Linked DNA regions of Macaca mulatta. The protein of the gene in region 2 interacts with the protein of the main gene of each other region in a biochemical or structural test. Links are inferred from orthologs where the notes say so. Each region holds a gene or a part of one and is shown on either strand. Other genes may lie near its edges. The genes, in order: HOXA5 and FOXA2.

Region 1 (4,238 bases), on a different chromosome or scaffold from region 2:
GTTTTTTGCTTCCTGCCCCTTTCAACGTCTAAACTGGCCCAGCGAACGCCTATTTCCCCCACTATTTGTGAGCGCGGGGTGCTTGCAAAGAAGAGGAGGAAGGAGGAAGGCAGAGGAGGGAGAACGGCAAGGAGAGGCTCCGCAGGGCTGGGAGAAATGAGACCAGGAGAGAGACTGGGAGAGGGCGGCAGAGGAGAGAGGGGGGACCGAGAGCCGCGTCCCCGCGGTCGCGTGGATTTAGAAAAAGGCTGGCTTTACCATGACTTATGTGCAGCTTGCGCATCCAGGGGTAGATCTGGGGTTGGGCGGGCGGCGCCGGGCTCGGCTCGCTCTGCGCACTCGCCTGCTCGCTGCTGGCAGGGGCGTCCTCCTCGGCTCCGGACGCCGTGCCAACCCCCTCTCTGCTGCTGATGTGGGTGCTGCCGGCGTTGGCCGAGGCGCCGCTGGAGTTGCTCAGGGAGTTTTTCCCGCCGTGGTGGCTGTCGCTGCCGGGCGAGGGGGCCACGGCGGAGCAGGGCAGCGGGTCGGGCGGAGGCGAGTGCGTGGACGTGGCCGGCTGGCTGTACCTGGGCTCGGCGGGCGCCGCGCTGGCGCTGGCCGCGTAGCTGCGGGCGCGCTCTCCGGAGCCAAAGTGGCCGGAGCCCGAGCGGCCGACGCTGAGATCCATGCCATTGTAGCCGTAGCCGTACCTGCCGGAGTGCATGCTCGCCGAGTCCCTGAATTGCTCGCTCACGGAACTATGATCTCCATAATTATGCAACTGGTAGTCCGGGCCATTTGGATAGCGACCGCAAAATGAGTTTACAAAATAAGAGCTCATTTGTTTTTTGATATGTGTGCTTGATTTGTGGCTCGCGGTCGTTTGTGCGTCTATAGCACCCTTGCACAATTTATGATGAATTATGGAAATGACTGGGACATGTACTTGGTTCCCTCCTACGTAGGCACCCAAATATGGGGTACGACTTCGAATCACGTGCTTTTGTTGTCCAGTCGTAAATCCTGCCTGATGACCTCTAGAGGTAAACTCGTGCACTAATGGGGGAGTTGGGTGGAGGCGAGAGGGGTGGCGCGCGCGCCTCGGGCGCGTGCCCGCCGCCAGTTGCTGCGGTTCAGTCGGACTCGAGCGCCACCCGCTGGAGGCAGGGCGCATCGCCCAGTTTCCGACCGGGGGCTGCAAGGGCCGGGGTCGAATTGAGGTTACAGCCCATTATGGCAAAATTATTGCATTTCCCTCGCAGTTCCATTAGGATGTACCAATTGTTAGGCCGTCAGCTGCCGATCGCGCGCCCGGCGAGGATGCAGAGGATTGGGGGAAGGTGGTGACTTGCATTTTATTTACAACAACTTTATTTCCCCCGTTTTGCAGCCCCTCTTATTTTTGTGTCGAGGTTGGGGTCGGTTCTGCCCGTCCTGCCAGCAGCTCTGAATTTTGAAAATACAGATATCACCTTCGGGGAAGGGGGAAAGCCATTTAGCCAACTGGATAAATAAATCCTGCCCGCAGCAGCAGCAGCTACAATTACGGCTCTGTTTTTGCGAGCGCATGAGGGACAGTGTCCCTGCCGCTCTTAAATGACAGGCGTCTATTAAAGATAGCTTTTGTGTAGTGTTTCTGCAAGGCGAGGTCAAATTCCATACACTTTTATAACCGTAGTCGATTTTTCTTTCGTGTGAATATGGTTTTCGTGTCATTAGTTTGCTATTTGATTTGCTTACGTATCCAGCCTGGAAAATCTTCATCACAGGGTCCGGTTCCTCGAGCCAGCCGGACCCCCAGTTGGAGGGTTCTCCTTGAACCCAGCGAGTGGGCCCAGGCTCCCTGCAGCCACAGAGGCTGCTTGGGGTCTGGGGATCCGTGGGGCCGGTTACTGGGGTCTTGCTTAGACCTCCAGGAGTAAAATGAGGGCGATAATGGAAGCATATCGTGGCAGTGCGTAGTATCTCTGTAGTTAATTTCCACGGCTCCGAAAGACTCAAGTAAATCACAAATATAGCTGAGAGGCAAGTGGAGTCTCCCCGCTGGAGGCCCCGCGTTGCAGGCGCCCCTGGCACGTCTGGAAGCCAGGACTCTGGCGGCTTCCATGGCCCTGGGCCCCTCGTTGGGTCCTGAACGCTGCTGTGGCGGCGACGCGGGCGCTATCGGAGGCAGGGAGCGGGAATCCGGAGCCGGGGGCCTGAGGGATCCCAGGGGCTCCCCGGGCTGTAATGTTCCACCCGCGCCCAGGTTAGGTTGCCTCGGCTGAGGCTGCTTCTTTTCCACTGACGGTTGCACACGCGGGACCGAGAGACTGGGCTCTGTTGGGGCCCCCTTTGTTCCTTGAGCTTCCTGTTCTGGGAGGCCGCTTGGGAGGCCGCGACAAGGCCGGGCTCCAGCACTTAGAACCCCTCTTTCAACTGGTCAGAGATAATTTGATGATGCCCTTCGGGACCTACTGGCGAGGGACCTAGGCACAGACTCCCAGACGCGAAACGGGGCTCGGCCCAGGGCTCTTTCCTCCCTAGCAGCTCGGCGTTCCGAGGTCGGGGAGCTCAGAGGCACTAGCACAGCAGCCCCGGACGCTTTCAGGGCGCACCCCAGAACTCGGGAGCCGGTTTGGGCAGCCTTGTGGAGCGGGACTGGGTGTGTGCAATGCGCCCCGCTCCACCGCTGGTATTGGCTGTGTGTGAGGTTTTGTTTTGTTTTGTTTTTTAAGAAATAAATGCACAGACGCTTGCAAAGCTCCCGGCTCCCCTGAAGTTGCGGAAGCCCCCGATGGGAGCAGGCGGGGAGAAAAGTTGGGGAGCAGGCGAGGGCAAGGGGGCAAAGCCGAAGGAGGTTGCAGCGCTGGCCTGGTCCCTGCCCAGGCGTCTACTCGTCCGCCTTTGCCTCTGAGTCCTCCCCGCTGGGCTGCGTGGAATTGATGAGCTTGTTTTCCTTTTTCCACTTCATGCGGCGGTTCTGGAACCAGATCTTGATCTGGCGCTCAGTGAGGCAGAGCGCGTTGGCGATCTCGATGCGGCGGCGCCGTGTCAGGTAGCGGTTGAAGTGGAACTCCTTCTCCAGCTCCAGTGTCTGGTAGCGCGTGTAGGTCTGGCGGCCTCGGCGCCCATGGCTCCCGTACACAGCACCTGCGAGCAGAAACAGCCGGGCGCCGGTAAGCCAGGACCTGGATGGTTGACCCAGTCAGCCCAGTGCCTCCCACAAGGGGCATACGAACTGAAAACCACCCCGCCTCCACTCCAGCCTCTCCCACTATGTCTGGGGCCCAAAGCATACTGAATGGGAGATTATTTCATACCAAGCGAGATGTTTTCCACCTATAACGACTTGGGGTGGACATTATTGTTTTTGAAAAATCTGCCTCATAGGAAAATCATTACAATCAAAATAACAGAATGGGCATTCTTAATTTGGGACGGCCAGGTCGTGTTTTTGTGGGGATGCAGGGTGTGTGTGTGGGGCGGGGGGGAGGTGTGGAACCATGTAAGTAGTGTACACACTCTGAATTCATAGTGGTCTCTCTGAGGATGCTACTGTGACCAGCCATGTCAGAACTCAACACATTTTTTGAAGAGTTAAAAATGGTCAGCCCTCTTGAATCTTTACACATTCTCCCATATTATATGACCCTTCTGAGAAACGCAGAACTCACCCAAGGATAAAGTGGATTTTAACGCAAAACATTATAATTTTAACAATCCGCATTAGGCTCTGTCCTAGGGAATTCCTAGGAGTCTTTGGGATTCCCTGTGGAGTCTTTGGAAACCAGAGGCTAAGAGATGGAGCTATAGTTAGTCTAGGATTTCTAGCAATGTAGGATTGTGTTGGGCTGTCTGATCTGTGCCAAAGATCCCCAAGGGTGGTGGGGATCCCTCCAAGACAGGTGTATGAACTCAGGCATGGGCTCAGAAGAAGGCAGAAGTTGGCTAAGAGTGAGCAGTTGAGTGGAAGGGGGAGGAGGTGAGGGAAGAGAGAGAAAAAAAAATCCTGAGTCTGGGGCTGTGGCCCTCCAAGGCTTTGGGGAGACACTAGAAGAGGCCAAATGGCCACCTCTCTCTGTACGGGTTTCTGAAGGGCAGAAAGGAGAGGGGGTTGGGAAGCAAAGGGTATTTATCAGTGACCAGTGCAAAAGGCCCACTGGCTTGGGAAGCTGAGCAGGGTACCCAGGGTGCATGGGTCCCCACCAGCCTCTCTCTCTCTCTTCAGGCTGTCCCTGTCACAGGTCTCATATACGTCTCAGTGCCCCCATCCTCCC
Region 2 (4,332 bases):
TCGTGGGAGCCTTCAGCACTCTGGGGACCGATGGGCACGGCTTCCGCGGAGATGCAGACCTTGAATTTGGGGGAGAATCCTGGCTCAGCGGGCTTATTAATGTCCTCATTATGAATTGTCCAAACTATCTGCATTTCAGCAGCAAAGGGTGCTGCTGGCGGCTTCCTCCTGTGGCCCAAACCCTGCGGACCTGAGAGTCCTCGGGTTGGGGAGGTGGTTCCCCTGTGCCTACTGCTCCCTGCTCTCTTGCCTTCCAGCCTCACCCTTACTCAAGCTTCAATGCGAAGCTCCGTGTCTGCCATCTCGTCTGTCTTCTGCCACCATCGCCCCCAATTTTGGACAGGTGGGCTGGATGCCCACTATTTCCTATGCGTTCTCTGTGTCTGAGGGTGTGGGTACAGGGCTGGATCCCCAAGGCCCAGCCAGTTTTTCAGAACCAAGAAAGAACCTCCACATCCAAACACCTGCAATATCCCCCCACTTCAAATCTGGGCTCACAGGCTAACCCAGAACAGAAGACAATTTTTGAACCCAAGAGCTGCAGGGGAAATAAAAGTATACGATTTCTGGAGTTTCCAATTTTTATAAAGCAGTCCGTCTGGAAGACAGAGAGGACAGGACCCTCTTGAAGTCAACTCCATATGCCCCATCATTGATTCCTGGATTCTTCCCTCCTTACCCCTCCCTCCCCACCTCCTGCCCTGTTTGTTTTAGTTACGAAATGCTGTGGGCACCTCGGTTGTGACTGAAAAGTAACCTTGAAACACGCCGGCCTGAATATCAGAGACCTATCTCAGCCTCCCAACCGTCGGCCGCTGCTGGAGGGGCTGCTTGCACCAGGCGCCGGCCGCCCCACTGCGGGTCGCTGGCTGCCGGGCTCTGAGGAGGCCGAGAGCCCAGGCGGCCGGACCGTGCGCCCGGCGCGTCTCCCGAGGCCGTTCCGGGTCTGAACTCTAACAAGGAGGGGCCTCGCAGGAGCAGCGGTGGGCGAGTTAAAGGTGTGTACACAGTTTTTCTAAATAGGACAGCACTTTGCAAATTGGCTGTCATGGGCTTGCTGTTTTGACAGAGAATGAGCACTGAGAGCGAAGAAACCCGGCATAAATAAATCCGGCTTTCATAGGGATCTGCGGGGCACTGAGGCCGGACTCGCGCTCCGACAGGCGCACCGGGCGCCAAGGCGCGATGGAACCCGGCGGGGGCCTGAGGCCAGAGCCGCCCCCGAGGGTGGTCTCCTCCCAGGTCCCTCCTTCCTCAGGGGACTCGCCGTAGACCCGGGAGGAAAGGGGGCTCGACCAGGGATCCCGTGTGCCCGATCGCCCGCCCGGCCCGCTCCCCTGGCCCGCCCAGGAGTGCGGGGCACCGCGGCGGTGGGGCGGGCGGCAGGCGCTGAGGGGCAGGTGCGGAGCGCCGGCTGCGGCTCCCTCTCACCTAGGTGTGAGCTGATTATTCAAATGGGCTGCCCCGGGTCTGGGGATTGGAGGCCCGCGCCAGCGCGCCGCGCTATATCACCAGCCGCCCACGTCACTGCGGCACTTGTCGGCTCCGCGGTCCACACCTCCTCCTCCTCCTCCTCCTCCTCCTACACCACCACCACCACCTCCTCCTCCTCCTTCCTCCTCCTCCTCCTCCCCACCCCACCCCCCCCAACCAGCCCCCGCGCCGCGCGCTTCCCGCCGCCTCGGGGCAGCTCTGCACTGCCAACCTCAGCCGCCACCCGGCAGCCCGTGAGCGCGGCGGCGGCGGCGGGCGCTCCCTGCCGCGGGGCGCTGGCCGGGGCCTCCTCCGCTCCTCGCCCCCCCCCCACTCCCGCCCACTTCCAACTACCGCCTCCGGCCGGCCCTGGGAGAGAGAGGGAGTGGAGCCCAGGGAGAGGGAGAGCGAGAGAGGGAGGGAGGAGGGGACGGTGCCTTGGCTGACTTTTTTTAAAAGAGGGTGGGGGTGGGGGGTGATTACTGGTCGTTTGTTGTGGCTGTTAAATTTTAAACTGCCATGCACTCGGCTTCCAGTATGCTGGGAGCGGTGAAGATGGAAGGGCACGAGCCGTCCGACTGGAGCAGCTACTATGCCGAGCCCGAGGTAAGCGCTCGTCTTTTCCAGGGGGAAGTGGAGCGGCGGCGCTCGCTCCTTCCCCAACCTCAGGACCGCTTCCCTCGCTGACACCCCCCCACCCCCGCCCCACAACCCCAGCCTTTCTGGGCAGCCGCCTTTTCCGCCCTCCTTGGAATCAAATGGGTCTCTTTTTTATACGACACACTGTTAGCCTTGAGATAATATTAACTTTGTGATCAAATATTGACTTGCGGCGCCTCCAAATCCTCTTCGTGGCCGAGCCACGCACTATCCTAACAGAGTTATGTTTGGCAGCGCGCGGCTGGGGAGGGGTGGGAGGTCGACCGGCGAGGGGGTGGGGAGCTGAGGAGGAGAAGATGGGTAGGAGTTGGGGGCTGAAGTGGAGGCAGAGTCAAAGACTAGTGGACAAAGAGAAAGAAAGTTTGTGCCTGCAAAGCTCAGCCGCGTGTAGTTTAGGTCTCGGTTCCTTCCCTATTGCCCCATTCAGTGCCTCCGGCAGCCCCCGCACTCCGCACAGGCGCTGCCTTTCGGATTCCCTGGAACAAGGGAGGGGGTCCCGGGAGGGAGACCGGACAGAGGGGATCAGGGACAGTCTTCACTGGAGGCAGCCTGAGGCGCCCCGCGAGGTGTCCCGCAGGTTGTTTGCTGCGACCGAAGGTGGCGTCCGGGGACTTCGGGCCTCGGCGCCAGCTCAGTATGCTGGTAGGAGAGTTTGGGGAGACTCTGGGGCAGGGAAATACATTTGGGGTTCTGGTTTGGGAATACTCCATGGGACCCCTGTTCTAGAATCTGGGCGAGGTGGAGAAGGGCTAGGAACGGGCCACATACCCAAGCAGCAATCCTCTCTCCTCCTTCCCAAGGGTGATCGATCATGGCTCTCCCTGGATGAAACAGACAAGGAGTCCGGAAACTGGGCCACAAGGGAGGAAAGGGCTCCCCGGAGGCCTCCTCGGAGGCGGAGGCCTGGGCGGTGGGTGGGAGATCTGGGCACCCTCGAGCCGCGGTGCTAACGCTGTCGCCTCCCTCCCGGGGCTCTGTCCGCAGGGCTACTCCTCCGTGAGCAACATGAACGCCGGCCTGGGGATGAACGGCATGAACACGTACATGAGCATGTCGGCGGCCGCCATGGGCAGCGGCTCGGGCAACATGAGCGCGGGCTCCATGAACATGTCGTCGTACGTCGGCACAGGCATGAGCCCGTCCCTGGCGGGCATGTCCCCCGGCGCGGGCGCCATGGCGGGCATGGGCGCCTCGGCCGGGGCGGCCGGCGTGGCGGGCATGGGGCCGCACTTGAGTCCCAGCCTGAGCCCGCTCGGGGGGCAGGCGGCCGGGGCCATGGGCGGCCTGGCCCCCTACGCCAACATGAACTCCATGAGCCCCATGTACGGGCAGGCGGGCCTGAGCCGCGCGCGCGACCCCAAGACCTACCGGCGCAGCTACACGCACGCAAAGCCTCCCTACTCGTACATCTCGCTCATCACCATGGCCATCCAGCAGAGCCCCAACAAGATGCTGACACTGAGCGAGATCTACCAGTGGATCATGGACCTCTTCCCCTTCTACCGGCAGAACCAGCAGCGCTGGCAGAACTCCATTCGCCACTCGCTCTCCTTCAACGACTGCTTCCTGAAGGTGCCCCGCTCTCCGGACAAGCCCGGCAAGGGCTCCTTCTGGACCCTGCACCCTGACTCGGGCAACATGTTCGAGAACGGCTGCTACCTGCGCCGCCAGAAGCGCTTCAAGTGCGAGAAGCAGCTGGCGCTGAAGGAGGCCGCAGGTGCCGCGGGCAGCGGCAAGAAGGCGGCCGCCGGGGCCCAGGCCTCGCAGGCTCAACTCGGGGAGGCCGCCGGGCCGGCCTCCGAGACTCCGGCTGGCACCGAGTCGCCTCACTCGAGCGCCTCCCCGTGCCAGGAGCACAAGCGAGGGGGCCTGGGAGAGATGAAGGGGACGCCTGCTGCAGCACTGAGCCCCCCAGAGCCGGCGCCCTCTCCCGGGCAGCAGCAGCAGGCCGCGGCCCACCTGCTGGGCCCGCCCCACCACCCAGGCCTGCCACCTGAGGCCCACCTGAAGCCGGAGCACCACTACGCCTTCAACCACCCGTTCTCCATCAACAACCTCATGTCCTCGGAGCAGCAGCACCACCACAGCCACCACCACCACCAACCCCACAAAATGGACCTCAAGGCCTACGAACAGGTGATGCACTACCCCGGCTACGGTTCCCCCATGCCTGGCAGCTTGGCCATGGGCCCGGTCACG

Evidence for each region.
Region 1: the proteins of FOXA2 (region 2) and HOXA5 form a complex in vitro, tested with the Homo sapiens proteins (2 studies listed by BioGRID). The link is inferred for Macaca mulatta from reciprocal best matches to the Homo sapiens genes FOXA2 and HOXA5.

Annotation. Positions count from the first base shown.
Region 1 is NC_133408.1:101,202,330-101,206,567, reverse strand, and holds the start of HOXA5 (homeobox protein Hox-A5), read right to left. Parts: upstream 2,852-4,238; 5' UTR 1,154-2,851; coding exon 259-1,153; intron 1-258. Other genes in the region: HOXA6 (homeobox protein Hox-A6), read right to left, coding at 2,852-3,111. UniProt on the Homo sapiens protein: Sequence-specific transcription factor which is part of a developmental regulatory system that provides cells with specific positional identities on the anterior-posterior axis. Also binds to its own promoter.
Region 2 is NC_133415.1:61,460,919-61,465,250, forward strand, and holds the start of FOXA2 (hepatocyte nuclear factor 3-beta), read left to right. Parts: upstream 1-1,528; 5' UTR 1,529-1,992; coding exon 1,993-2,079; intron 2,080-2,901; exon of another isoform or gene 2,902-3,111; intron 3,112-3,117; coding exon 3,118-4,332. UniProt on the Homo sapiens protein: Transcription factor that is involved in embryonic development, establishment of tissue-specific gene expression and regulation of gene expression in differentiated tissues.